4 linked regions of the Saccharomyces cerevisiae S288C genome follow. The protein of the gene in region 3 purifies or fractionates together with the protein of the main gene of each other region. This does not show direct contact. Each region holds a gene or a part of one and is shown on either strand. Other genes may lie near its edges. The genes, in order: NOP53, SPB1, NOP13 and TIF4631.

The links.
Region 1: the proteins of NOP13 (region 3) and NOP53 purify together in Saccharomyces cerevisiae (affinity purification with mass spectrometry; 2 studies listed by BioGRID). This does not show direct contact.
Region 2: the proteins of NOP13 (region 3) and SPB1 purify together in Saccharomyces cerevisiae (affinity purification with mass spectrometry, with the first as the bait; 2 studies listed by BioGRID). This does not show direct contact.
Region 4: the proteins of NOP13 (region 3) and TIF4631 purify together in Saccharomyces cerevisiae (affinity purification with mass spectrometry; 2 studies listed by BioGRID). This does not show direct contact.

The regions. Positions count from the first base shown.
Region 1 is NC_001148.4:272,929-279,225, reverse strand, and holds NOP53 (Nop53p), read left to right. Parts: upstream 1-1,696; coding exon 1,697-3,064; downstream 3,065-6,297. Other genes in the region: oxysterol-binding protein KES1, read left to right, coding at 1-831; ATP-binding cassette long-chain fatty acid transporter PXA1, read right to left, coding at 3,359-5,971. UniProt on the Saccharomyces cerevisiae protein: Late-acting factor in the nuclear maturation of 60S ribosomal subunits, which is required for normal acquisition of export competence. Required for the export of the large subunit.
Region 2 is NC_001135.5:29,833-38,331, reverse strand, and holds SPB1 (27S pre-rRNA (guanosine2922-2'-O)-methyltransferase), read right to left. Parts: upstream 6,884-8,499; coding exon 4,358-6,883; downstream 1-4,357. Other genes in the region: APA1 (bifunctional AP-4-A phosphorylase/ADP sulfurylase), read left to right, coding at 1-496; LRE1 (Lre1p), read right to left, coding at 716-2,467; PBN1 (Pbn1p), read left to right, coding at 2,939-4,189; RDT1 (Rdt1p), read right to left, coding at 7,336-7,422. UniProt on the Saccharomyces cerevisiae protein: Required for proper assembly of pre-ribosomal particles during the biogenesis of the 60S ribosomal subunit. Specifically methylates the guanosine in position 2922 of the 25S rRNA at the stage of 27S pre-rRNA maturation.
Region 3 is NC_001146.8:303,082-310,516, reverse strand, and holds NOP13 (Nop13p), read left to right. Parts: upstream 1-1,904; coding exon 1,905-3,116; downstream 3,117-7,435. Other genes in the region: MDG1 (Mdg1p), read left to right, coding at 460-1,560; TDA7 (Tda7p), read left to right, coding at 3,537-5,447; mitochondrial 54S ribosomal protein uL22m MRPL22, read left to right, coding at 5,902-6,831; 40S ribosomal protein uS3 RPS3, read right to left, coding at 7,115-7,435.
Region 4 is NC_001139.9:818,680-827,417, reverse strand, and holds TIF4631 (translation initiation factor eIF4G), read right to left. Parts: upstream 3,360-8,738; coding exon 501-3,359; downstream 1-500. Other genes in the region: YGR161C-C (gag protein), read left to right, coding at 4,403-5,725. UniProt on the Saccharomyces cerevisiae protein: Component of the eIF4F complex, which interacts with the mRNA cap structure and serves as an initial point of assembly for the translation apparatus.

The sequences.
Region 1 (6,297 bases), on a different chromosome or scaffold from region 3:
GTTAAGCTGCAAGGCTACAACCAAATTAAAGCCAGTTTCACTAAATCCTTAATGCTGACTGTTAAACAATTTGGTCACACTATGTTGGATATTAAGGATGAGAGTTATTTGGTTACCCCACCTCCATTGCATATTGAAGGTATTCTTGTCGCTTCTCCCTTTGTTGAATTGGAAGGAAAATCATATATCCAATCTTCGACAGGTCTACTTTGTGTTATTGAATTTTCAGGTAGAGGCTACTTTTCTGGTAAAAAGAATTCATTCAAGGCAAGAATTTACAAAGACTCTAAAGATAGCAAGGACAAGGAAAAGGCATTATACACAATATCAGGCCAATGGTCTGGCTCTTCTAAAATAATCAAGGCAAATAAGAAAGAAGAATCACGATTATTTTACGATGCTGCTAGAATCCCTGCTGAACATCTGAATGTCAAGCCTTTGGAGGAGCAACACCCACTGGAAAGTAGAAAAGCCTGGTACGACGTGGCTGGTGCCATCAAATTAGGCGATTTTAACTTAATTGCCAAAACGAAAACTGAATTGGAAGAAACGCAAAGAGAATTGAGAAAAGAGGAAGAAGCTAAAGGCATTAGCTGGCAAAGAAGATGGTTCAAAGATTTTGACTACTCTGTCACGCCCGAAGAAGGCGCCCTTGTACCTGAAAAGGATGACACTTTCTTAAAACTCGCCTCTGCTCTAAATTTATCAACGAAGAATGCTCCAAGTGGTACTTTGGTGGGTGACAAAGAAGACAGGAAGGAGGATCTTTCATCCATTCATTGGAGATTCCAAAGAGAGTTGTGGGACGAAGAAAAGGAAATTGTTTTGTAAGGAGAACGATAAAGTAACAACTTGTTACCGTTGCACTAATATATTATCTATCTTTTCTTCTTTTTCCTTCCTTTTTCTCTTCATGTGACAGGAAAGGATATGAAATCATTAGAGGAACTAAGAAATCATTTTTACCATCCCCTAAATCTTATATTGTTTTGTTCTCTTTTCACTATAATGACTAGAATTTATTCTTTCGAACCACAAGAATATGCTATATTGCTGTTAAAGATGAAGCAGAAAAAACCTTTATCTATTTCTACTTCTTCCTTTAATTATTGATAGACAGATCGCTCATTTTTTTCTCATGATGTCATATCCTTTTTAATCATCATACGAAGGTTAAAATTTGAAGTTTACCAAGTTTTCATGCAAGTTTTGTTATTATTTACAACCTATTACTATATTTTATCTTCTCTGTTGATATCCTCACTTTTGTCTTTTTTATAACTCTCTAATTTTCTTATGTCAATTTTGTAGAACCACATAATCGATGGAGTATATGCACTTATACAACACTTTCTATACAAAGTTTATGGTATATCCCAAAATCTGTACGCTTATCGAACCATAGGCCTGTTTTATCACTCCATAACAATGAAACACAAGAGGCTAACGCCAAGTACTAAAGTAATATTATCATAATATTGCGTATTACCTAACAGGTGTGCTCTGAGAGAATACAGTCATATTTGACGAAATTCTATAATTCCATCAAAAAATTTTCCGTGCCCGAGCTTTTTCACTTCTAAAAAAGAAAAGAGCAATAAAAATGCGATGGGGTCCTTACATTACAACTTATGCTATTAGTTCGGCTTTCTTGTGATCCATACCATCCTCACGTTAATGAATCATTTATTTAAAAATGGCTCCAACTAATCTAACCAAGAAACCATCTCAATACAAACAGTCTTCAAGAAAGGGTAAGAAAGCATGGAGAAAAAATATCGATTTATCTGACGTAGAACAATATATGGAAAAGAAAATTGATCATGAAATTACGCATGGTACCAGTGATATAACCTCTTTGCAAAATGATGCTCTTTTTCATGTTGATGTTGAGGGTGATGAGATATTGAAAAATAAATTAATTAAAAGGAAACAAATTAAGAAGGTTCTAAAAAGTAAAGAGATTTTAGACGCCGTTAAAACGAATTCAAAAATTGCAGCACTAAATCACCATAAGAATAGTAGTGGAAATCCTAATAAGATTCAAGGTGTTTCTAAACACGAATTAAAGAAATTAATGGCTTTGGCTGGCAGAGTACACGGCGAATCGAAGATCAAGAATAGAGTTGCCAAAGACGGTCTAGTTAAAACAACGGCTGGCGACTTATGGGGTGAAGAATCCAATTCAAAGAAACAGAAGGTCAAATTACCTTCCGGTATCAAACTTGATGTGGAAAAAAAGGACCAGATACCTGAAGAACTATTGAAAAAATCCACGACAAGTTGGTCTACTGCTTCAGTCAGACCAAGTACTTTAGATATAGAGCCAATTGCAGTAAAAGAATTCACAGAAATTCCACATGCTGGTAAATCCTACAATCCCAACAATAAAGCTTGGTCAGAATTGATAAACAAAGAGTATAAAGAGGAAAAGGCAAGAGAAGATGAAAGAATCGCCTTGGAAAAGTACAAAGAAAGAATTAGACATTTAATGGAAACTTTAGATGACAATGAAGAGGAAGAGTCTTCATCAAACGAAGAAGAAGAAGAAGAAGAAGAAGAAAATGAAAATGAAAATGAAAGTACGCAATGTAGTGGATCTGATAAGGAAATAAAACTATCAATAAATAAGCCTGTGAAGAATAAAAAGAAAACAAAATATCAAAGAAACAAGGCAAAGAGACATGAAGAGAAAGTAAAATTGCAACAAGAGTTGAAAGAATTGAGACAACGTGTTAAAGATTTAGAAGAAGTTATCAATTCTGAAGAGACTGAGATACTTTCAGCCATAGAGTCAGATAGCAACAAGGTTAAAAAAAGCAAGAAAAATAAGAAACACAAGTTAGGGACGAAATACTCTGTGATTGATGAAAGATTGGAGATTAAATTTTCTGACGAATTATCTGACTCATTGAGAAAACTGAAACCTGAAGGAAATCTGCTATATGATACTGTGAGAAAACTACAAAGTTCTGGTAAGGTCGAAACAAGAGTGCCCGTTAGGAAAGGTAGAAAGTATAAGCAGAAAATCACTGAAAAGTGGACACATAAGGACTTCAAATAGAGTTTTTTGTTTTACAGTATATGTTTCCATGAAAAGGTTGTCCTTGATACGTGGATTCATCAAGTGAGATATATATATATATGTTCATATTTGTGTTGGCAAGACCAACAACTGTATAGTAGGTAACAAATTGTTTCATTTTCTTTTCGTTCTCTGCCCTTTTCTAGTTTGAGAGGGCATTCCCATGTCGATATCTCTAGATATCAGTTAAACATTCAAAAGTACAAATTCAGTTACGGAAATAATATATAAATTATATTCGCTAAATAAAATCTCTCCCTTTCTAGGGTGTTTTCAAATAATTTCAAGCTTTTCCCGTAGCTTCGTCCTCTCATCTTCCCAACCTTTTACTCTTTCTAGTTTTCTCTCCAATTCCTCAATCTCGTTGTCAATCGACGTGATTGCTTCATCGGTACCAACTGCCTGTAATTGCCATTTGCCATCTCGATTTTCACCGATCTCTAGTAACATTTCATGATATTTGATTAATGTGGGTCTTTGTGATATGGAAATGAAATTGAATCTGTATCGTTTTAAAAGATTGAACAGATAGTCTTCCATGTCAACACTAATTGCGTTTGTAGCCTCATCTAATACTACGTATAGTGGTTTATGAAACATGATTCTAGCAAAATTTACTCTTTGCTTTTCACCACCACTTAATAAGTCCTTCCAATCGGCAATGGCATCTAGGTAAGTTAAGCCAACGCCTCTTTTTAAAAGATAATCTAGTTTCACTTCGACTAATATCTGTACTAGCTCCTTATCTCTAAACCCCCTATCAAAGAATTCATCCGAGGACATGGGGTATATAATTTGGTCTCTTAAAGTTCCACCTCTACTAAAATATGGTTTCTGAGGAATAAAAAAAATATTATTTTCTGAAGGAATCGACAATAATCCATTTTTGTTATACACTGGCCATATTTCAGCTATAATGCGTTGAATTGAACTTTTACCGCAACCATTTGGCCCTAATATTAACAGGCTGGAGCCAGAACCCTGCAAAAATGGTAACTTTATATCATTTGCCTTCGATAAGTCTTGTATAGAATTGGACTTTGAAGTTATTGGGTCAATATGCAAAGGAATTTGAAATGTAAGCTTGTTAATCAGCTTTATGCCTTCGCTCGCCCTTACTGATGGAATGATTACGTCTATATTTTCTAACCGAATACCGTTAAAATTGCGTTGAATAGTACCACGAATAGCATCTTGCGAATTATCCGTGGTGGGTAATAAGTTGGAATTTCTGGAAGCGTCTTCTGTACGTATTGACAGGATTGAAGGAACAGCGCCGTAATTAAAGTTCAGAGAGTGAACCCTGTGTAAGACGGAAAGCAGAGTAAATATCCTATTAGTGTAGCCGGTCAATTGTGAGATGTCCTTTATCGAATGCATCAATCTCGAGCCTGCATCTGCAAGCGACAACATCAACCTTTTGTTGACTATAAATTCCTTCATATTTTTTTCCTCTGAATTGATGCCTGTCGCTAAGGTAGACATAACGATAGGGATTGAGGCAAAAACATAACCCAAACCGGACCATGTATATTTTAAAACATAGTCTTCCAACATATTGTAACCAAACTTGACTTTATCAACCAGCAGCATTTTTTCCATCAGCACATCATACAACTCTTTAACTTTCGTCCTTTCCACTGCTGTTCCTTGGTAAAATGCGATCTCTTCGCTATTATTTATCATGTTTAGATGATAATTGTAGTAATCGCCGTCTGAAGCAGATCTCTCGCCTGCCAATTTACCTAATGGTGGCGTGTATTTCCTCAAAATAAACCCAGTAATGAAATAATTAACAAATATACCTGCTACTCCCACAGTTCCCAAATTATCACGTAAATAAACCGAAAAGAATATTAAATCAATAACTGGCTTTGCAATGTTTGCAAAAACGGAGCATGTCGCATCGCAAAATTTTGCAACATCATTAGTAATGGAGTTGTCGATATTCTTGATTACCGAATTGGACGCCTTTGCATCAAAAATTAATTTGTAAAATGTTAGTCTTTTATCCAAATACATGTCATGGATGTAACGTGTCAAATTTACCCTAAAGTTTAAACTCAACTTCCTTTGAAGTAGCTTAATAGCACTATTAGTATAAGAAGCAGGGACAGCAATTAAAAACCAACACCCTAAGTCCCACAGAAAGCTTCTTCCTCTACCAGCAATTATATTTTTGACTATTTGTCCATCCAGCTTGGCTACAAACAAAGAGAGCCAAGTTCTCATCACCAGGAAAAAAATTTGAGCAGTTAAAAGAAGAAAGTTTTTGTCAAAAACTGTTGGAATTAAAATTTTAGACAAGACGTTCATTTGGTTTAAAAATTTTGAGTAGAATAACTGCGAATTCTTGGCTCTTTCCAGTTCTACATTTTTAAAAAGAAACTTATCGTGTTCATATACATCGTTATCCTTTGGTGGAATAAATATCCTTTTCCTTTTTTTTTTATCTGTAGCATTCATAAATTTGTTGTCATCGGGACTCTGGCGGTCGACTAATTCCACTTCAGGAATATACATTATTCTTGCACCACTGTCTAATTGCATTTGAGATCTTGTTCTTCTTATTAAAGGTCTCCTATTCCTTCTCTTCCATGGAAACTTGTAAAATTTATAACATTTTAGAATAATTTTGAAAGTACTATATGTTACACCAGAAAAAAGTGTGACACCAGATAGGAAAAGCGATACCAATAAAATCTGGGCCCTTCTTCTTAGCTTAGGATGAGCAGCGTTTGATCTAGATATCTGTAGAAGATGCCGTATCAATAACTTGAAATATACTTTAGGTGTGACATCGTTAACGTGTAGCCCAATACAGTGAGTATGTAGATTCAGGAGCAAACTCTTTAGTTTCGCTGGTGCTGCTAATGTTGTTGACATTTCTGTGTTATGCGTTCTAAGACTTCCAGATTGTCTGAAACGGGTTTCATTGTTAGTCTCACTTCTTAGAGAAGCATTCTTATATATCTTGACTCTAAAAGGGCTGAAAATAACCGCCGAAATTAAAAATTGGGGTAAAAAAGGGTAACGAAACTTATGCGGTTAAGCCCGATCAACATATAGCTGAATATTGCGTCAAGAATAATTTCTTAATCGGGATTATTTCCGAAGGAAGAAATTCTATTGAAAAAAAAATCTTAACATCAAAACTGCTTATATACATTCCACAGGTTCAAGCGGTCATAAGAGATCTGACTTTTGATAGA
Region 2 (8,499 bases), on a different chromosome or scaffold from region 3:
ACATTTGCAAATTCTGCAAATGCCTGAAAAGTTCGTCACTTTCCAAGATAGACTATGTAATGGTAAAGAACATTTCCTACCAACTTTCAATACTGAACCTTTGCAAGATGCTAAAGTCTCGTTCGCTCATTTTGTCTTGCCAATGCCGGAGTCTGAAGAAACTGTTGATGAAGACCTATTAGCTATGTGTTACATCTCCATATTGCAAAGAGCTTTGACCTTTTTCCAGGACTGGTTGAACGAAAATCCAGAACTAAAGAAATCCTACAATCTTATGTTAACCAAGGAATGGATCTGTGTCGTTCCACGCTCGAAGGCCTTTTCTGATGAAATGAAGATAGGTTTCAACTCCACAGGTTATTGTGGTATGATCTTAACCAAAAATGATGAAGTTTTCTCCAAGATTACTGAAAAACCTGAATTGATTAACGATATCTTATTGGAATGTGGTTTCCCAAACACTTCTGGTCAAAAACCAAACGAATACAACTATTGAGTCCTTCACAAGTACAAGTATACACGTATACATGTATGTATATATATGTATTTAAATGATAGAAGTAATTTCTATATGTATATGTCTATTCAATTTTTATTTCTGATGACTTTGAAATTTTATATTTATTATTCTACACTTTATTATTAAAACTACATGCAATCAATGCCGTTAAGGTTACGATTCACCTTTTTATTACTTATTATTAATATTGTTGTATTACTTCCTTGAAAAAATATGTCTAAAGAGTCCTAATTTGGATTTTCTTTTCCTCCTAACTTCACTGTCCTGCGCCTGCTTTCCTAACGCATCATCGCTAATACACCAGCTTTCATTGCTTGTTGCTGCGCTGTTGCTCGCATGGAACGTTTTCAGTGCGTCATCATCCTGGGATAAACTAAAGACTAAGTCACCAGTTTCATTTGAGGCTTTTCTCTGCGCGTTGACAAAAGAGGACAGATCAACCATATCACCTGGTTCACCCATGAGAATGTCCTTACTTAGTTGCGAATTGGTTCTGATCTGCCCTTCAGACTTGGAATATTCATTACTGTCATTACTTTTAAGCCTATTCATTTCTTCCTTGCCATCAGGCGTACAGGATTTGACCACAGAGTGTTGAAGGGGTGCATCGTCCGCTCTCGTAATAACCCCTCCGATACTATTTTCATTGTTGACACCGTTGACTGAAAAGGGCATGGACTGTGCATTAATGTTTTCATTTTTCATCATATCATCATATGGCATTTCATAATGTTGACTCTTGTAGTTGAAGATTGAGTTTATCGTGTTACTGTTTCGTCTACCTTTCATATTATCAATCAGGTTGCGGTGTTGCATGTGGGAGATAGGACTGCCCGATCTTCTTCTTCTCGATTCTCCACTAAAATCCTGTCTTTTATCGCTATCCAGCACACGATTAAGCTGTGAATTGCCGCACTTTTTAGGATAACCATCCTTGGCATATCTAGGGTTATCTTTTAGTGGAAAATTATCACTTTCTAAGTTAATGTCCGCATTGCTGTCATAAAAGGATACTGGTGTTGCGGGAGTAGATGCTAGTTTAGAAGGGGTATAGGCCAGGGAAGAAGGTGTCATTGCCTGATTGATTGTCATTGAAGCAGCCGACCTTTGTTCTTTTGGAGATTGCGAGTCACAGCCTACGGTCAAAGGTAGCTGCTTCGTATAATGATAATATCTTTGCTTTTGGCCTTTGATCTTCAACGAATTGAATGTGTTGGAATTCCGTGCATTGGCGTTTTGCATCCCATGGTTGTGATGGGTCGGTGACCCATTGAGAGCTGAATCATCTACATCAATGGCCTGTTCAGATACACAAAGGGAAGGCCGCAGTGGGGATAATAGTGCTGTTGGAAGCTTTTGCTCATAATATTCATTTTTCGATTCTGGTTCAATTAAGGAGTCCTCTTCTTCTTTAATCATAGAGTTAGAACCGGCTGCACAATTGCCCTTATCTACCATAACCTCCAAATCAGGAGGAGCGGATTCAGATCTTCTATGTGATTTAAATGACCTAGGCCTTGTCTTCAACGCATCGTCAAGGTTAATAATGGCATCTGGGACGCCTTTAACTGGCGATGAAAAACTTGGCTCTTCACTAATGAAAAATCGTGGACTTGGTGTTTGCAGATTGTTCTTTGGTGATAACGGATAAAATCTTGGTTCAGGCAAATCTAACGTTCCAGCGTCTTCATTGGTTTTGCAAGGAAATCTATTGTAGCGTATTGGCGATAATGTACTTGATACAGCAGTTGGGGCAGTTGAAGGACAATTTTCAGCCGCCTGTGGAGGTGGTAAATTCACAATTGCTGCAGGCTGTTTCAAAAAATCAAAATCTCCTGATATTGCTAGCGATCTGCGATGGCGGTGACCTCTTTTGGATGGTGTAGACAAAGTATTTACAGGATTTGGCTCTGATATTTGCACATGTTGAGTATGCGTATTGGGCATTTTCCTATTCTGAGAAGGAGTATGAAATAATTGCCGAGGGTTCAGAATGCTCTTTTAGAAATAAAAATGAATGTAAATAGTTGGAATGTATCTTTAAGTAGACAAATGCAGGTAAGTTTTAGTGGCCTTTGCGGATTAACAGTATGCTCTTAGTGCAAAACACGAAAAGAGCTCCCAATCTTTGAACACAATCGACCACGGAGGAACAATACACGTAGAAGGGGATAACTAAAACTTTGTCGTGCAAGAGTATTGGAGGACACACTAACAGCAGAACTTTGCCTTCTTAACTCTTGTTTATGATTGCTTGAAGTATTACACATGTAATAAAAGATGATTATTTTTTTTTTCCTAAAAAAAGTTCCTTTCTTTGAAGATCCCCCTGATAAAAAAGATCAAATAATGGAAACGCTAATCATAATCAAATCGGGAGGAGAATAAACGCAAGAAGTGTGCGTTTCTAGCTGAGTAATGGTGACAAGACATAGAGTGACTGTACTCTACAATGCCCCTGAGGATATCGGTAATCATATGCGCCAAAATGACACTCATTTGACTGTTCGTGGAGGTTCTGGTGTGGTTTTACAACAAAGGTGGCTATTAGAGAGGACTGGAAGCTTGGATAAATCCTTTACGAGAATCACTTGGAGGCCCAGAGCGGACTTGGCTAGAAGTTTAAGCGTTATAGAAAATGAACTGAGTGCTGGCTTTTCAGTTTACTCAAATTCTTCGGATGTGCCGGAAAGGTTTATTACTAACCCAGTCTACAATTCATTTCACAGTGAGAAGTTTGACATAGAGCAGTACTTGCCTCCCGAAGTAGATTTGAATCTGTCATGGAATCCAGAAGATTTTACATATGATATATCAGTGGAGCCCACACAAATCCAAATTGTTGAATATCGTCTGTTGAAACAGGGTGAAGAATTTACAATTGCAAGAGTGAAAGATGAGAAACTCGAAGTAGGTGTATTCTTTGTGGATGCAAGTGATGAAAGTGATGTCGATATTGGTGGAATACGTTGTAATTGGAGGATGGACGATGGTAAAATGGAAAGATGTCAGAAAACATCCTTATTGTATAAACAGGGCCATATCGCATACAATCACTCGACGACTACGACATCACTATATCTGAATGAACCTATCGGTTTGCATCCAAAAATCATGATTGATCTCACAGATTTCGAAGAACGCCCTAAATGCATGTATCTAATGCACCTGCAATTGCCGTTAGAATTATTTATCGATAAATTCCAATCCTCTCCCTTACTACTTTTTGGAGAAGACGACTTAGAATTACCAGAATACTCTCTTCGAGATAAGGCATGGGGTTCTGAAAGTATCTTTGAATTGAAAGCCGGCACAATGAATGAAGTGACATTGCATACTAGATATATTGAGCCTTCTAATAATAAAGGGGATAAATTAGAAGTTTCATTTGATCCAGAAGTTATATTAGCCTGCGACACAGGTGACAATAAAGTTTCCCGTAATCCATTTTATAAAAAAGGTCTAGGATATGAATCTCTCTTTACAGACGATACTACATTCCGCCATTTGAACTCGACAACTCTTCTAGTACCAATTCCAAGGCCTGACACAAAGGATTATTCCAAGATCAAAAATGGTACGTTACTATGCTTACTCATCTCCATCATATACATTTTCTCCAAGGTATTTGGTAACAACAAGAAGAAAAGATCAGTAAAACGGGAATAAAAATTGTTCTACTGTGCACTCGTATTTTCTGAATTCAAAACGATAGGTTTCCTATAAGTTTTTTGATGATAATTTGATTAATTCTATGTATACATAATATATCTATTGCTTTCTTTTCCTTTATTTTCAATATTATACAAGGGAATGGAAAAATAATGCTCTTTGTTACTACTTTTTCTTGTGATGCTTCTTTGCGATACGTCTTAGGGCTCTTTGTTCATTCTTCATGACACCATCAACCATCTTATACTTACCCTTAACGCCCTTTGGTCTACCTGCCAAACCTTTGTTCCTACCTGAGGCAACAACCAAAGTAACCTTTGGCTTGGTCTTTGGTTTTTTGGTAACCTTACGCATCAATCTAGAAATTTCTTCAGCCTTGTCCTTCTCTGTCTTGTCTGAATCATCGTTAATCAAGCCCGCCTTCTTCTTGATCTTTTCTAACCGAGCTACGGCACGCATCCTCTTTCTTGCCTTAGCTTCAGCAACCTTCTTAATAGGACGGGCGTTCATTGCCTTTATTTTTTCTTTAATTGCCATCGCTGCCTCCTTAGTAATCGGCTTATTTATCTTTGAATGTTCCTTTTCATCTTCTAAAAACCAATCTGGCAAATTTTCGGTGTCACGGAAGGTGTATCTATTGAAACCTTCATCAACAAGATCATGCTTGTTTTTCTGACCCAATGCTAACTGATGTGCCAAAGTCATGGCTTCAACAGTAGCAATATCAATGTCTCTGGAATGCTTTTCTTTCTTTGTTTGATTTTTTTCTTCCTCTGAATCATAATCAGAATCGAATTCTTCTGATGCATTATCGTTGGCCACAATTTCGAAATCGGAGTCATCACTTGAACTCTCATCCGAAGAATCTGCTTCATCTTGTTTCTGGTGCATTTCTTCATGTTTTCTTTTCTTATTTAATTTAGAAATATCACCAACAGACTCGGAACTCATTATGCCATCATTGACGGTATTTACTGGCAAATCAGGTTCAACGTTATTAAATATCGGATCATTGAAAATCATACGTGCCTTACTACTCAATTTGTGATCACCTTCTTGTCCCTTCAATTTGCTAATCAAATTGGTGATGGCTTCATCATCATCGGAGTCTCCTTCGACACCTTCATCGTCATTGTCTTCGATATAATCTTTACCTTCCTCTTCTTTCTTTTCTAGACTTCCCTCATTAAAACCGGTCCATTCTTCCTCATTATCGCCACCACGTGCTTGCTTAGCTCTAAACTTGGCATCCCTTTCCGACCTTCTAGTTTTATAATCACTATACATGGCATTCAACTCGCTTTCTAAATCGTCCGCATCAGCGGCAGAATCCTTATCTTTGATCATGATGTTTTCATCAATGTAAATATCATTATCTTTGGCTAATTCATCGTCTGTAAAAATCATTCTTTTCTTACCCTTCGCCAAGTCGTTCAAGATACCAGTCTTTTCTGCAGTTTTCAAATTAAACAACGATTCTTTACCCAAACTTGCGGCTTCAATACCAATATCAGTGGGGGTTATCATGTTCATTTGCATTCTCTGTAGTTCCTTTTGCTTCATTTCGTTCTTCCTTCTTCTTTCGCGCTTGACATTTAGACGCTGCTTCTCCTGTAAACCTTGCAAATCTTTTTCAATTTGCTCCTCTTCTGTTAACGGTACTACTTCAATTTCTGTTTTAGCGTCGTCCTTAACTTCGATGCCCAAGATTTCCCTTGCAATCTTTCTCCATCTTAGGATCATTTTAAAATCCTTTTTACCCAAGACTTTTAAATCTTCAATACAGGAACGGAACTCGTCTGTGGTTTGTTTCAATTTCTTCAAGATCTTCCATTCATGGTCATTCTCATCAATTGTAAACTTATTCATTTCTCCAAGCATGCTTATTGGGTCTTCCGTCCTGACAAAATCCAAAATTGAGGTTTCATGATACAGTAAATTATCACCTTCCTCATAACCTTGTCTTTTTCTAACTTTTTTTTCGGGATTATAAATCTTGGACTCCATATTCTGTTGCCCATCTGGCAATTCTTCAAAAACTTCTTTTGGATCCAGTAATCTTGGGTCCAGCCTCTTTGGTGCCTTGAAACCTTTACACACTACAAAAATTTCTGCAGAAACATTTCTTGATGCGGGTGGTTTTGTGGCTTCAACTTTCTCAAACAATTGTTGGAAAACCCAAATCAATTTATTATAATCCTTGGATCTGAAAATTTTAGTAACAAAAGTACCGTTCACCACCAAATTTTCGACGGCCAACTTCAAAGCTTGTAAGGTTAATTGAGATTGGGTGAAAGCATCCTGAACCCAACCCAAACCAACATTAGGAGCACCATCATGCAACACTGTATCAGCTTTCCAAGTCTTCATATAACCCCTCAATTTTGATCTACAATCTTCTGTTGTAATATCACTTTGAAAAGTTATAACATTGGGCATCGGCTTCATTGGAACAATATCAACACCAATAATTAAGGAGTTGACAGGACAGAGTTTGGATGCAACTTGACACCATGAACCAGGAGCAGCACACAGATCAATAACAACCTTCGATTTTTCTAAGAAGTGGCCATACTTTTCATTAATCTGAATAATCTTAAAGGATGAACGAGCACGATAACCTTTCTCCTTTGCTAGATAATAGTATCTATCTAAACGTCCCTTACTATTCTTCTTTTGTGTCTTACCCATTTTTGCCAATCACCTCTATTGAGTTAAATCTAACTACAAACTGAAGCAGAATGAGTATTGAAAGAATCTAAACTTAAACTAACTACTATACTATTATTGCCAATTTTTCATAATGGGCATCGCAAAAAATTTTTCAGACAAAAAGAAACAAGCTGGGTAACCCGCTTTTGCGGTTTTAGTATACTGGAGGAGATTAAAATTAGACAAAAGAATAATAACGTAAGGTGAAAAATGTTTAAACTCAATAGTGTGAGGTTTACGTGGCTATATATACGCAATATATACACTTTAATCCAAATTATCCCTCCCACCTGCTTGCTACTCTTTTGAGATTTATCTTAACGAGCTAAACAGACAGACTTCGGAAGTTCAAGCTGTCCAGAACTCCTTTATAGAGCCAAAAAAAGTAATGCTTTCGATTATTTCTGGTTCTAGAAATTTTTCAATACCCTTTAGTAGTCTTCTTTGCGCCGGATTGCTGGACAAATAGAATTTCTTCTTGACTTAACTATAAAAACAAAAATCTTCTGTCGTATCATAGCTACATGCTGTAGTTTTCGATTAAATACATGCTGCAGTTTTCGATTAAATGCTAATTTTTGTATCCAATATATAGCTATTCATCAATTGAAATATTCATTTTATAAGTAAGATTGAAAAAAAAAAAGAAAACCACAAAGAGGAGCAGAAACGTGGCAATCTAAAGAAAAAAAAGCACCATCTTGCAAACACTAGCACATTTGATAATCATAGAGAACAAAAATAATTCAAAGGTGTGCTTGTAAGTCTTTAAACGCGCCTTTTTCTTTATTTGTCGAGAATCGTGTAAATTTCCCAATACAGTAATTACACGATCCACGCTGTCCCAAAAAAGTTCAAAAAATTTTTCGTGCTTTTCCTTTATTGAAAATCATTTAGTCCAGTTTCATTCTGTGTTCTGTGTTTCTTCGACTTTGAGATTTCTATTGAAGTAGTTATTTATTTACAAAATTTATTGTATTTACACTTATTATAAATTTTCTGTCATCTCGACTTAGTACACCTGGCGCTGGTTGTTATTGGCAATATAATAGACAATATTATCTCATCAATACAACAAATTAAACTCCAGAAGTCACATAAAGTATACAATTAGTCTTGAAGCATCTGATTTTGAAATCTTTTTGGTATCAATTAACGTGCCGGAATACTGTTTGCACGAAGGAATCAAAGATAGGTACTGTGTGCGTCAACAGAACTTAAGCACTAGTGATTTATATTAAAAAAACCAAACAATTAGAACAATTAATTAACAGTGACTTTGAAATTCAGAACTATATTTACGTCGTCTGCAATTAGAATTAAAAGGAAATCAAAAATTCAGATACAAAGTTCATGGCATCTGCTTTGACATATTTGTTATAATTGTGTAAAAGGGCACAGTCAATGAGTAGTAGATAGTAAAGCCTAAATAATTATATGTAGCAATTGCTTCTCTTGAAATTGGGTATCATGGGTGAAAAATTATTGTGCATTTATAGCAAACCTATTAAACAGATCAATGTTTTAGTGAAAATTATGTCACTGGACAATACAAATCTTTGGAAACCGTCCCTAGAATTTGGAATTGGATAATT
Region 3 (7,435 bases):
CAAAAATGTCGATGCTTTCAATGACTATTACGTATCTTCTCTACTTTTGTGCAAATGTAAATACTAAATGAAAGCCCTATTTTGTGTAGGGTTTACACCGCACAAAGTAAAAAGAAGCGATAAAAATGAAAAAAAGTAGTCAAAATACATACTATCAAAGTAAGGGCATTGGTGAAATACTGCGAGGCTGGCCTTTTCCGCAAATATCTGGGGCAGCGAAGCGAAGGGGCCCGATAGGAACTTTTGGGGCGGGAGCCCTTGCATTGACATGGTTAAGGTTTTACATCCATCATTCTCCCCCTCTCTTGTGGTTTAAAAAAATAAAAGGTGGCCGATTTTTATGTAATATAGAAACGACTTCTGTCCTTCTGTCCTCTGTATTACCTAATTTTCTTTCTCTTGATGGTATTTAACTTTCTAAGCATTATAAGATAATATTAAAGGGAAAGTGTTTCTAGAATGCAATCGAGCTTACCTCAATTTACGTTCAAATGGCCCAAAGGACCCGAAGCAATTATTCTGACAGGCACGTTCGACGACTGGAAAGGTACTTTGCCGATGGTGAAGGACCCCAGTGGCGCCTTCGAAATAACGCTGCCAGTAACGTTTGATAGCCCTAGCAGCAAGTTTTATTTCAAGTTTATTGTTGATGGCCAATGGCTGCCAAGCAAAGACTACAAGGTGAACATCGACGAGGGAGTGGAAAACAACTTTATTACCGAGGAAGACGTAATAAAGCAACGCGAAAATGGCTCTAGCACGCTGGTACCTGAAAGTGCCGGATTAGCTGTTTCAAAGAATGCCCCTCTTATCGAACCAGAAGCTGAAAAACGTGCAAAAAAATTAAGAAAGTTCAAGATCAAGAGAGTGATCAAGACAAATAAACAAACCGGAGAAAGGTCGATATTTTCCCAAGAAGTGGTTGAATTGCCCGATAGCGAGGATGAAACCCAGCAGGTGAACAAAACGGGCAAGAATGCGGATGGCTTAAGCGGTACTACAACGATAATTGAGAATAATGTTGGTGTAAACGAGGAAAAAGCAATCAAGCCGTATGAAGAGAATCACCCCAAAGTTAATCTAGTTAAGAGTGAAGGATATGTTACGGACGGTTTGGGTAAGACGCAATCTTCTGAGTCTAGATTATATGAACTATCGGCCGAAGATCTTGAAAAGGAAGAAGAGGAAGAGGACGAAGATAAAGGCGGCGGTAAGGACACCAGTACAAGTGCAGACGCTGAAGCTTCAGAAGATCAAAATAAGGAACCATTAAGTAAATCCGCTAAATTTGAAAAACCGGAAGAAAAAGTACCTGTAAGCTCAATTACAAGCCATGCTAAAGAGACTTCTGTGAAACCAACCGGCAAGGTTGCGACTGAGACTCAAACTTACGAGACGAAACAGGGCGCTCCTACCGCTGCCGCAAAAAAAATCGAAGCTAAGAAAGCTACTAGACCTTCGAAACCTAAGGGCACGAAAGAAACACCAAATAAAGGTGTCCAAAAGAACCCTGCTAAGAATGGAGGGTTCTTTAAAAAGTTGGCCCAGCTTTTGAAGTGAAAACAATCAGGAGAATACCTAAATATATGACGTACTCGCCATACCTAACTATGTAAAACCTAATTATGTATTAATAACAATACCATGTTGTATGTAAACTCTGATGTAGGATCGCACTTTTGCCGAAAGCACATGCTTGTCTTTGTATTTCGCTTGTACGCCTTTGCTCAGAAAATTCTGTAGGAGTCACGTTTCCCGTTGAAATGCAAAAACCTGAAATTTTTCAGTCTGAAAGAAAAAATTGCGATGAGCATAGATGATAAATTTAACCATACAACAAAGAGAAATCCTTTTCCCCACAGAACATTACCTAAACCCAACAACTTTCTATAATTTGAGATAGAATGTCAGAAACAGAACTGTCGAAAGAAGATGCTGTTACAAAAAAGGATAACGAGGAACAAGTCAAGAAGGCTTTACTCGATCCAACAAAAAAGAGAAAAGCTGAAGATGAAATTGAGATTGACCTGAAAAGCTCCATTCCCCTATCAAAAAAACAGAAACGTCTCTTGAGAAGAGGTAAAGTTACTCTAGAGGAGTTGAATGCGAAGTACAATATCGACCCTAAGTCAATCGAGGAATACAAAGAAGATGCTGAAAAGAAAAAGTCTGGTGCTTCTGAGAAAGACGCCCAGGGTGAAGAATCTACAATCAACACTCCAACAGGAGATGAATCTGGCGAGGTTGTAAAAAAGAAGAAGAAAGATGAAAATAAATATGGTGTTTGGATTGGTAACTTATCCTTCGACACCACAAAGGACGATTTAGTAAGATTTTTTATTGCTAAAACAAAAGACAACGAAGATGAAAAGAGCAGAGTCACCGAACAAGACATAACCAGGTTATCCATGCCTCGTGTTGCTGCCAAGAACTCTAACGCCATGAAAAATAAGGGATTTTGCTACATGTTTTTCAAGAACGTCGAGCAGATGAAAGCGGTCTTAGAATTATCTGAATCTCATTTAAACGGAAGGAATATGCTAATCAAGGACTCCGAAAATTATTCAGGTAGGCCAGACAAGGACGATTTAGTTGCCATGTCCAAAAATCCACCGTCAAGGATTCTATTTGTCGGTAATTTGTCATTCGATGTCACAGATGATCTGTTAAGAAAACACTTCCAACATTGTGGTGATATCGTGAAAATCCGCATGGCAACATTCGAAGATAGTGGTAAATGTAAAGGATTCGCATTTATCGACTTCAAGAATGAAGAAGGATCTACTAATGCATTAAAGGATAAAAGTTGTAGAAAAATTGCCGGAAGGCCATTGCGAATGGAATACGGTGAAGATAGAAGTAAAAGACAAGTTCGTAAGAAGGTTGAAAATGTATCCAGAAACAATTCCTCATCATTTGATATCTCTAACAACAAAGGATACGATCGTGCGGGACAGGATAACGGCAGCAAACCCGAATACAAGCGGTCCAACGCCAACAGACGTCCACCTGTAGATTCCAATAACCGAACTAAGAGCAGTGTAGCTTTAGCCACTGCTCAGAGAGGTTCTGCAGCTATTGTCCCATCACAAGGTAAGAAAGTGAAGTTTGACTAATCAGCGTGAACTGACTGTAGGTGCCACGTATATAATGCGATTATTTCGCTTGTAAATTATTCAATCATTCATGTTTTATATATACATTGTATAACCAATTGCTGCTATTTTTATTTTTTCCATTATTGCTTATCAAGGCACGGGGAGAACGCACGGAAAAAAAAAAAAAAAAGAAGAAAGAAATGAGGTAAACAAGATCTTTAGGAGCGGTTCGCATATTAGTAATACACTGATAATCGCCGTACACTCATAAAATCCTAAACTACTCACCAGGTACCGAAACACTACTGATCCGTTTTTTGGACTGGTTGTTGGCACACTTTCGCTTAAGACACACATTTAGTATTTCAATCCCCATCCGTCGATATCTGAAGGAAATCTAAAAGAAAAGCTGGATAGAGTAATTATTTTGGCCATCGTATGAACTCCAATAGTACCATCGGAAGGACCACCCTTGGAGAATCTGATACGATATCCCTGTCATTCAGTGAACCAAGTAGCAGTCTGAATTCACGATCAACGGATGTTGTCTTCGCATCTACTTCAACTTTAGTACCCCAACAAGGAAGTCTGACCTCATTACCGCCCGTGTCTAGTACAGCTACTCCTACATATTATTCTACAAGCTTAACATATGATGAGACTTTGCATACATCCATTGATGTATCTTCGACAAGTACTTTAGTATCATCTACCGACAGCAGTTCATCGAGCGAGCAAGATACGTATAGTTCCCAATATGACCCAGCTACCTCCTCATACTCAATAATTACACCATCCATGTCCATTTTCTCATCGACGTCACCAATGTCATCATCGTCGTCAATAACGTCGGAATGGTCATCGTTAACATCAACAACACCAACGTTATCGTCATCAGCTACATCGCTGTCATCATCATGGTCGTCGTTATCATCACCATCTTCGTTACTGGTATCGTCCTCGTTGTCATTATCACTATCTTCATCATATTCAGACACTAAATTGTTTTCGTTCGACAGCAGATCTTCTATTTTCTCACCATCAACACCCACCGTAATATCCCCTAGTTACACATACTTGTCTTCCATATCTGCAACTTCATTTCAAATTAGTACCACTTCAGAACTCTCTTCTAGTTGGTTCTCAACAATTTCTTCTCCTTCTACGATATCAAATAAAGATACCACATTCCCAAGTTCCAGTCGGAATACTTCCACATCGTTTTACAGTTCATCGCTTTCATCGACGAACGATTTTTCAACCATAAGCAAATCATCGAAACTCAGTCCATCAGCTTCATCTTCGACAGTTTCCATAAGCACGATTTCCGTGCCAACGTCAAGTTCTGTTAGCTCATCCAGCAGTAAAGTACCTTCAAACCGTCCTTCATCATCATCATCATCAGATGATACAACAAGTGCTTACTCAAGCACGTATACTTTTCAGTCCTTACAATCTACTACTAGCAGCAGTATACCACCCACCACTCAAACACCCAGCACTAGTACGATTTCTACGTCTCCCATACCAACATCCAGTCAGGTCTTCAATACGGTAGCCATTTCAAGCTCCGAAGATTCAAAAACTATTTATTATTTCTATACCCAAACATATGATATTACTGACTCCTCTACAACGTTCGTGACGGGATTACCTACGACCATAGCAGTTGCAAAAAGTGAGGTAACCTCATTTTCCGCTCCATCTTCGACGATCACAGCTGACATGTCTTTCTATCAGCACTGGCTTGATGGCAGTTTGGATAATAACAAAAACCAAGGCACTTCAAAGACAAATACTGGTACCATTGTTGGAAGTGTGGTAGGAAGCGTCGGTGGTATTCTTATATGTGTACTAGTAGTTTGGTTCATGCTGGTTAGAAAAAGGAAGGCAAAGAGGCATTTCAAGGAAAACGATTCCTTCTGTCACGAGATTGGGCGCAGAACGGGATTCCCAACAACTGCCCAAGCAAAAGAGGCGTCACTTCAAGCTCAAGACTCGGGATCACAGCAACGAAACACCGAGACTGCTTCTGCTAATAATCCGTTCAGCAACGAATTCAATTTTAAGGCAAGAGGAAATCCTCCTCCAGTGCCACCACCAAGGAATGTTACCGCAATGAATGGCTCCTTTCAAAATATGCGGAGTAATTTCATGGACCAGGAAAACAGATTTTCCTATGGCTCTTCATTTACATATTCGTCATTGGGTTCATCTACTCAAGGTGGCTTTTCTACTTTATCTTCAAATTCGATACGACTCGGACGTGGTTTAGATAATGACATCTCTCATGATGAGAGAAATACAGTTCAGAACAATTCACAAGGGTTCTTGAGGGAAATTATATGACGATGACTTCAGTCTATTAGTATGATGTTTACTAATTAAGCAAAATCAGCTCTTGCTGAATAACACTACTATTAAAAATCATAAAAACATCTTTATTGCCAATAGTGAAGAACGACAAGGCCTTTTAAAAGGCATAAAAAACAATGATACCATTCTGCAATGAAAAAAAAAGAAAACTTTGTTCTTTGTGTATAAAGAAAATATTTTAGTTCTCCTAAATAAATAAATACTAAATTATACGAAACTCTTTCAGTCTTTTCTCCTGCTTGCTGCTTGAACAGTACTCATGATATTCTATTAATCTTCTGTGGGCGGGGTAACTAAGCCTTCACTGTACTCGGGATTTTGAATAAAAGTCAACTATCCAATCTGGAAGGCATTTTAACATACGCCATTAGGAGCCGCATAGCAAGTCAGAGAACCTCACCTCACCCTATCTTTTTTATTAAAGAAAATGAACTTCCACACGGCAAGAATATCTCAGGTCGGTGTCATTTCTAGGGCTCTACTTTCTTCTGTAAGTAGACGTTGGATTCATGTAACGCCAATAAGTCTTAATAATTCAGGAGGATCACTATTCGGAAGCATTACAGAAAATAAACCAAAGGAAGGAAAAAACAGGGGGGATGAAGATGCAGGCAGCTTCTCTAATAGGTTAGCGATTGCTTCTGATTCTTCTGGAGAGGCTCCTGAAGTTAATAGGGATTCAATAACCATAGAAAACGATAAACTACTACAGCAACATATCATATCGTTGCAGCAACCGGAACAATTAGCATCACAGAGCTTATTATCTCCTTTGAAAAGGGAAATATATGAAGCTAATTGTAAAATTAATGGTGGGTTTTACAAGAAAGATACTATTGTAAAGTTACCAAATTCTAGCGAACGTTACAAGCTAAAGTTAACAAAAAGAGAAATTGAAGTACTAGAACCTTCCGTATATGCTCAGTCATATAGAATTAAATCGTCGATGAAAAAGGCTACACTTTTGTTGAGGTTATTGGGAGGCCTCGACGTTATGAAAGCTATATCTCAGTGTCACTTTTCTAATAAGAAAATTGCTCGCGAAGTAGCAGAACTACTTCAAAAAGGTGTAAAAGATGGCCAAAAATTAGGTTTGAAACCAGAGGACTTATATATCTCTCAGATTTGGACAGGGAGTGACGGGTTTTGGAGAAAACGTGTTGAATTCAAGGCAAGGACAAGAATCGGAATCATAAGTCATCCTTACATACATGTCAGATGTATTCTGAGAACAAAGAGTGTTACGAAACGAAGACTTGCTTATGAAGCACATTTAAAAGAGCAAAAAAGAGCGCCATGGGTACAGTTGGGAGATAAGCCCATTAGGGGTGTTACAGGCGGCGTATACAAGTGGTGAAAACGATAGCGAACTCATTCATATCCGAGAAATCGTCCTGTAAGCTGAGAAAGATGAACTGCTACTCACTTCTTAACCTATATTCACAGTTGTGTTGTACAAAACTTTTCTTTTGATTATATAATATTGTGATTCTGTAAATAACAACTAGTTTCAACGCACTGCTTCAACGTGCACCCTCCTGACTAAACACGGCAATATGCAAGAAACCGCAACAATTAAGTGCACTAGAATAGAAGAAATTATTGTACTTATAGTTTATTTATGTATTTAATAATTAAATCTAAGCTTCAACTGGTTCAGCTTGAGCTTCAGTTTCTTCAGCTGGTCTGTAGTCCTTGACAGATGGAGCAAGAATTGGTTCTTCTTCTTTTGGTTCAATGATGGTGACAGCATCTGGCAAAGCCTTTGGACCAGTTCTGCTCTTAGCTGGGTCTCTCATAATCTTAACCTTGATACCCAAAACACCTTGTCTCATCAAGACGTGTCTAGTAGCAGTGTCAATGAAGTCGTTGACTGGTTGACCAGAGTGAATCAAGAAACCGTCAGCAAATTTCATAGCCTTAGCTCTGGCAGCTCTTAGTTTACCGGAAACAACAACTTC
Region 4 (8,738 bases), on a different chromosome or scaffold from region 3:
CGGTCCTTTCCTTTCGTGGCCTCTGTAAAAAAAAGGACAAATGGTGAAGCAGTAGCATGATTAAATCGAAATATGAAGTTAAAGCCGTCAGCTAATAAATGATATAAATATACAAAACTATACATATGCTGAGTGGTCTATTATATAAAACATATCGTAAACGAAGACTGGCGAAGCTATAAATAAAAATACAGAAAGGCATTGACATATAGAACAAGATAGGAAAAAAAAGCACAGTAAGAGGATTACCCATTAAAATGCATCAAACTTGTTTATAGCTTTTAGTGAAAAGAAATGAGCCCATTAATCGAGAAAATATAACAATGGTAAATTAGGGACACTTTTTTTTTCTTCTCCATGCATATATTTTCAATTAATAGCGCAGGATTAAACGTAAGATTAAATTTGTGTTGTACTATTAATTTATTATTTTATTAGACTTTCTACCAACATCCTTGTATCCAAGTGACATTTTCGATACTTAACATGATCTATTCATGTTACTCTTCGTCATCACTTTCTCCCATTAATGCACTGAACATATTTGTTGCGGTAGAAGTTGGTGCAGCTGGTTCTTCCTTTGGAGGAGGAGCCCTTTGGCTATTTCTTTGAGAATATGTTCTGGTTGTGATAAAGCTATCTTTTGATGCAGGAGGAGCGTCCCTTCTGAAAGAGTGTCTATTACTGGAGTTGTTCGTACGTCTTGAATTAGATCTTGAATTATTCTTCAATTGACGTTGTCTCTCCTCTTCCTCATGAATCTGTTGAATGGTCTTAGGACCGTTGTCCTTCTTATCACTGTTCCAGTTCTTGTCGTGCCTTAATTCTTTAATGTCGATCAACTTGAACTTGATTCTACTAGAAATCTTAGCAGTTTGAATAATATTGTCTAAAATACCGAACAAACTATCGAGCAATTGCGAACCCTCCAATGTTGCTTGACCCGTTCTGAAACTATCGGTCTCAAATTGTTCACCAACAGTATTTAACAATTCAACAACGGACTCTAGAGTTTCTTCAGATGGAGAATCCGTCAAATCCTTCATTAGTCTACGGAAACATTCGAACATCATCTTTCCAGTCAACAGATTCAGACGGTATAGGAAACCGATGAAACGAACCAAACCTAAACCTCTTCTCTTAGCAGAAGCAGCTGCATAGTACTCTTCTGACATCATCTCAGGTTCTAATGGAGTACCATCTTCGTTTGTGGGTAATTTATCGGTCCAACCCTTGTCAAATTCGGCATGACATCTAGCAACCAAGTAATGCAAAACCAATTTTGGACCTGTCTTACCTTCATTAGTTTCATCTGTTATATCTGGGTTTAATTCTTTAACTACTTTACCACATAATTGCGCGTACATAGAAGACCAATGGGGTTCGTCACAGGCCTTTAAGAAAATCTGTTCTATCACAGCCTTTAACGTTTCACCATTTGTTTCCCATACTGATATGTTTGCAATAGCCAAAATTTCAGATGAAATAGCATCGAACATTTCCAAAGTAAGTTTATTCAGTAGTGACTTCATCTTTCTTTCAACTTCATCCTTGTCCAATAGTTCGGTCTTTCCGTCAGGGGCTAGCTTCTTTTCAGTCTTTTTAGACTTGAATTTTGGCACCCACCTATTAGCACTTGGAACAAGTGGAGCAACTTCTTCCTTTGGTTTATCGTCCTCTCTTTTCTCTTCATTTCTGTAGGAGCCTCTCTCGCGGTCTCTTCTTGATGTATAAGATCTATTAGATCTCCTGTCGTCATTCATTCTCTTTGATCTTCTCTTTGATGAAGTTCTTGAATTAGCTCTGTCATCCATATTTCTCACTGAGGTATTTCTAAAGTCATGGCCACGACTAGAATTATTGCCGAATCTGCCAGAATCTCTAGATCTATTTCCTCTGCCCATTCCTGGTGGAATGACAATTTTAGAAGCAGTGCTTTGGACCCATTCGGCGTCCGCTTTGACGTTTAGTTTGTCCTTAAATTGAAGCAAGAAAGTTGGGCCATATGTATATTTGACGTGTTCTTTCTTGTATTTGATATCAGGACCTTCAATACCTTCTGGATAGTTAAAAGAAAAGACATCTTCAATTGGTGTAGCATCTTTCAATACATTCAATATGTGAGAAACGGTGTTTGTACCATCATCAGTTTCATCAGTTGTAGTTTCGATTTCAGCTTCAAGTCCAATCTTTGTTCCAGCATCACCTGCTTCAGCCTCAACTTCAGCTTCAGCTTCATCAGATTTAGTAGGGATAGCCGGAGTTGTTGCAGATTCATCAATGTTTGACTGTTCGGTTTCGGCGACCTCAGTTTCTTCTTTAACCTGTTCACTGGGAGGCACAGGAGCAGACTCGATGGCGCTCTTAGTCTCTTCCTGTACTGGCACTTCCTTGTTTTCCTTCCCCTCCGTTTTTTCTTCTCGTTCTTTTTGTTGTTTCTTCAACTTCAAACGTTCAGCAAAGGTTAACACCTTTGGAGTGGATTCTTCCTTTATTTGGCCCTTTTCTCCTTGTTCACCTTCTTCAGCTGGAGTTTCTTGCTTAACTTCTGGCTCAGCAGATTTTTCTTCAGCAGGCTTGGTTTTTTCGGTTACCTCAGGTTTGTCCGATCCCTTCTCTTCCACATTTTCTGGGGTAGTCTTCATTGGAATATTATTGTTGCCACTAGAACCTTCAAGTTGCTCCTTTCTCTTCTTTTCTAAAGCAGCTTTACGAAGTTTAACTTGCTCGATGAAATTTCTTCTTGTCTTTTCAGCTTCAGATATATTTTCTTCAGAACTGGCCTTAGAGTCATTAGTGGAAGGGGTAGGAGTTGGAGTAGAAGTAGAAGTAGAATCAGAAGTTTCTTTTAACTTTGACTCTGGTTGCGGAGACACAGTAGATCTTTCCTGAGACTGTAGCTTGGCTTTATGCTGTTCTTTCAAATCTAAGTGTTCACCAGACTTGGTAGTGATTTCTATCTTAGTTGGAACAGGTGACTTCTCTTCGACAGGAATTGGATTAGCAGGGGCACTACCAGCGGCCGCCATTTGCTGGGGCTGGTAGTAAACGGGGTAGTTATTATAGTAACCAGTCCATGGCACGTTTGAGCTGTTGGCTCCCATGTGTCCACCTCTGAAACTACCGCCACCATTATAGTTGCCACGGTTGTTATATCTGTTTGGTCCAAATTTACCACCTCTTTGCTGATGAGGTCTGTTGCTGTTGTAAGGCTTCTTTTGGGTATAGTTGCTACCATTGTTGTAGTTGGTGTAGCCACGTTGTTGCTGAGATTCCTGCTGGTCATCGCCTGTCTGTTTCAGAGCAGCAGATTCCTGCTTTGAAGCAGATTGTGTCGGGTGAGCAGTTTCGTCTGTCATTATTGTAATAGGTAATTACAGTTGTCCTCTTACCTTGCTTATTTATGAGCAAGAAGGAGTAAAGTAAGAAGCTTTAAGAAATTGAAGGGAAGAGGAAGAATCATAATTAAGTAAATTATCACAATATCAAGATTGGTAAAATTTCAAGCAACATATTGAAATTCCATCTACCATCCATCCGTTGCACACAGAGAACGCGGCATCGAAAATTTTTCTTGAAAAAAAAACTTTTGTCAGTGAAACAGTACGAGAAAAAAAAAAAATAAAAAAAAAGCTATAATTGAAAAAGGACGCACAAAAATACGGTGAAAAAGAAAAAAAAAATCGTTTCTCACGTCGTTATCGAGTCGCGATGAGGATAGCGCCCATCATATGATCATCCCATTACGATGGAAGTCTGCCATCATGATGTCCAAGAGGGTCCTTAAAGCTATTAGTAAGTAAAAAAAAACTGTTGTTCCAGAGATATTGAAAAAAGCCTTATTAATGTAATCTTCAAAAAATGATTTCGCCCAGGATCGAACTGGGGACGTTCTGCGTGTTAAGCAGATGCCATAACCGACTAGACCACGAAACCACTCTTATTGGAAGATTGATCCAATTAAAGGGGAATAGGTCACATGAAACGACGACAACTATGCTGGTTATTACCTAGAGGGATAATTGCAAGCTAGATCTTGAAACGAACAGAGGAAAAAAGCTAAAGTAGTAACAACAACCAATATATGTATATATGAAGAGAATGTGGATTTTGTTGGAATAAAAATCCACTATCGTCTATCAACTAATAGTTATATTATCAATATATTATCATATACGGTGTTAAGATGATGACATAAGTTATGAGAAGCTGTCATCGAAGTTAGAGGAAGCTGAAGTGCAAGGATTGATAATGTAATAGGATAATGAAACATATAAAACGGAATGAGGAATAATCGTAATATTAGTATGTAGAAATATAGATTCCATTTTGAGGATTCCTATATCCTCGAGGAGAACTTCTAGTATATTCTGTATACCTAATATTATAGCCTTTATCAACAATGGAATCCCAACAATTATCTAATTACCCACATATATCTCATGGTAGCGCCTGTGCTTCGGTTACTTCTAAGGAAGTCCACACAAATCAAGATCCGTTAGACGTTTCAGCTTCCAAAATTCAAGAATATGATAAGGCTTCCACTAAGGCTAACTCTCAACAGACAACAACACCTGCTTCATCAGCTGTTCCAGAGAACCCCCATCATGCCTCTCCTCAACCTGCTTCAGTACCACCTCCACAGAATGGGCCGTACCCACAGCAGTGCATGATGACCCAAAACCAAGCCAATCCATCTGGTTGGTCATTTTACGGACACCCATCTATGATTCCGTATACACCTTATCAAATGTCGCCTATGTACTTTCCACCTGGGCCACAATCACAGTTTCCGCAGTATCCATCATCAGTTGGAACGCCTCTGAGCACTCCATCACCTGAGTCAGGTAATACATTTACTGATTCATCCTCAGCGGACTCTGATATGACATCCACTAAAAAATATGTCAGACCACCACCAATGTTAACCTCACCTAATGACTTTCCAAATTGGGTTAAAACATACATCAAATTTTTACAAAACTCGAATCTCGGTGGTATTATTCCGACAGTAAACGGAAAACCCGTACGTCAGATCACTGATGATGAACTCACCTTCTTGTATAACACTTTTCAAATATTTGCTCCCTCTCAATTCCTACCTACCTGGGTCAAAGACATCCTATCCGTTGATTATACGGATATCATGAAAATTCTTTCCAAAAGTATTGAAAAAATGCAATCTGATACCCAAGAGGCAAACGACATTGTGACCCTGGCAAATTTGCAATATAATGGCAGTACACCTGCAGATGCATTTGAAACAAAAGTCACAAACATTATCGACAGACTGAACAATAATGGCATTCATATCAATAACAAGGTCGCATGCCAATTAATTATGAGAGGTCTATCTGGCGAATATAAATTTTTACGCTACACACGTCATCGACATCTAAATATGACAGTCGCTGAACTGTTCTTAGATATCCATGCTATTTATGAAGAACAACAGGGATCGAGAAACAGCAAACCTAATTACAGGAGAAATCCGAGTGATGAGAAGAATGATTCTCGCAGCTATACGAATACAACCAAACCCAAAGTTATAGCTCGGAATCCTCAAAAAACAAATAATTCGAAATCGAAAACAGCCAGGGCTCACAATGTATCCACATCTAATAACTCTCCCAGCACGGACAACGATTCCATCAGTAAATCAACTACTGAACCGATTCAATTGAACAATAAGCACGACCTTCATCTTAGGCCAGAAACTTACTGAATCTACAGTAAATCATACTAATCATTCTGATGATGAACTCCCTGGACACCTCCTTCTCGATTCAGGAGCATCACGAACCCTTATAAGATCTGCTCATCACATACACTCAGCATCATCTAATCCTGACATAAACGTAGTTGATGCTCAAAAAAGAAATATACCAATTAACGCTATTGGTGACCTACAATTTCACTTCCAGGACAACACCAAAACATCAATAAAGGTATTGCACACTCCTAACATAGCCTATGACTTACTCAGTTTGAATGAATTGGCTGCAGTAGATATCACAGCATGCTTTACCAAAAACGTCTTAGAACGGTCTGACGGCACTGTACTTGCACCTATCGTGAAATATGGAGACTTTTACTGGGTATCTAAAAAGTACTTGCTTCCATCAAATATCTCCGTACCCACCATCAATAATGTCCATACAAGTGAAAGTACACGCAAATATCCTTATCCTTTCATTCATCGAATGCTTGCGCATGCCAATGCACAGACAATTCGATACTCACTTAAAAATAACACCATCACGTATTTTAACGAATCAGATGTCGACTGGTCTAGTGCTATTGACTATCAATGTCCTGATTGTTTAATCGGCAAAAGCACCAAACACAGACATATCAAAGGTTCACGACTAAAATACCAAAATTCATACGAACCCTTTCAATACCTACATACTGACATATTTGGTCCAGTTCACAACCTACCAAAAAGTGCACCATCCTATTTCATCTCATTTACTGATGAGACAACAAAATTCCGTTGGGTTTATCCATTACACGACCGTCGCGAGGACTCTATCCTCGATGTTTTTACTACGATACTAGCTTTTATTAAAAACCAGTTTCAGGCCAGTGTCTTAGTTATACAAATGGACCGTGGTTCTGAGTATACTAACAGAACTCTCCATAAATTCCTTGAAAAAAATGGTATAACTCCATGCTATACAACCACAGCGGATTCCCGAGCACATGGAGTCGCTGAACGGCTGAACCGTACCTTATTAGATGACTGCCGTACTCAACTGCAATGTAGTGGTTTACCGAACCATTTATGGTTCTCTGCAATCGAATTTTCTACTATTGTGAGAAATTCACTAGCTTCACCTAAAAGCAAAAAATCTGCAAGACAACATGCTGGCTTGGCAGGACTTGATATCAGTACTTTGTTACCTTTCGGTCAACCTGTTATCGTCAATGATCACAACCCTAACTCCAAAATACATCCTCGTGGCATCCCAGGCTACGCTCTACATCCGTCTCGAAACTCTTATGGATATATCATCTATCTTCCATCCTTAAAGAAGACAGTAGATACAACTAACTATGTTATTCTTCAGGGCAAGGAATCCAGATTAGATCAATTCAATTACGACGCACTCACTTTCGATGAAGACTTAAACCGTTTAACTGCTTCATATCATTCGTTCATTGCGTCAAATGAGATCCAAGAATCCAATGATCTTAACATAGAATCTGACCATGACTTCCAATCCGACATTGAACTACATCCTGAGCAACCGAGAAATGTCCTTTCAAAAGCTGTGAGTCCAACCGATTCCACACCTCCGTCAACTCATACTGAAGATTCGAAACGTGTTTCTAAAACCAATATTCGCGCACCCAGAGAAGTTGACCCCAACATATCTGAATCTAATATTCTTCCATCAAAGAAGAGATCTAGCACCCCCCAAATTTCCAATATCGAGAGTACCGGTTCGGGTGGTATGCATAAATTAAATGTTCCTTTACTTGCTCCCATGTCCCAATCTAACACACATGAGTCGTCGTACGCCAGTAAATCTAAAGATTTCAGACACTCAGACTCGTACAGTGACAATGAGACTAATCATACAAACGTACCAATATCCAGTACGGGTGGTACCAATAATAAAACTGTTCCGCAGACAAGCGAACAGGAGACTGAGAAAAGGATTATACACCGTTCACCTTCGATCGATACTTCCTCATCAGAAAGTAATTCACTACACCACGTCGTTCCTATCAAAACGTCAGATACCTGTCCTAAGGAGAATACAGAGGAATCTATAATTGCTGATCTTCCACTTCCCGATCTGCCTCCAGAACCTCCTACCGAATTATCAGACTCCTTTAAAGAACTTCCACCGATCAATTCTCGTCAAACTAATTCCAGTTTGGGTGGTATTGGTGACTCTAATGCCTATACTACTATCAACAGTAAGAAAAGATCATTAGAAGATAATGAAACTGAAATTAAGGTATCACGAGACACATGGAATACTAAGAATATGCGTAGTTTAGAACCTCCGAGATCGAAGAAACGAATTCACCTGATTGCAGCTGTAAAAGCAGTAAAATCAATCAAACCAATACGGACAACCTTAAGATACGATGAGGCAATCACCTATAATAAAGATATTAAAGAAAAGGAAAAATATATCGAAGCATACCACAAAGAAGTCAACCAACTATTGAAAATGAATACTTGGGACACTGACAAATATTATGACAGAAAAGAAATAGACCCTAAAAGAGTAATAAATTCAATGTTTATCTTCAACAGGAAACGTGACGGTACTCATAAAGCTAGATTTGTTGCAAGAGGTGATATTCAGCATCCTGACACTTACGACTCAGGCATGCAATCCAATACCGTACATCACTATGCATTAATGACATCCCTGTCACTTGCATTAGACAATAACTACTATATTACACAATTAGACATATCTTCGGCATATTTGTATGCAGACATCAAAGAAGAATTATACATAAGACCTCCACCACATTTAGGAATGAATGATAAGTTGATACGTTTGAAGAAATCACTTTATGGATTGAAACAAAGTGGAGCGAACTGGTACGAAACTATCAAATCATACCTGATAAAACAGTGTGGTATGGAAGAAGTTCGTGGATGGTCATGCGTATTTAAGAATAGTCAAGTAACAATTTGCTTATTCGTTGATGATATGATATTGTTCAGCAAGGACTTAAATTCGAATAAAAGAATTATAGCAAAA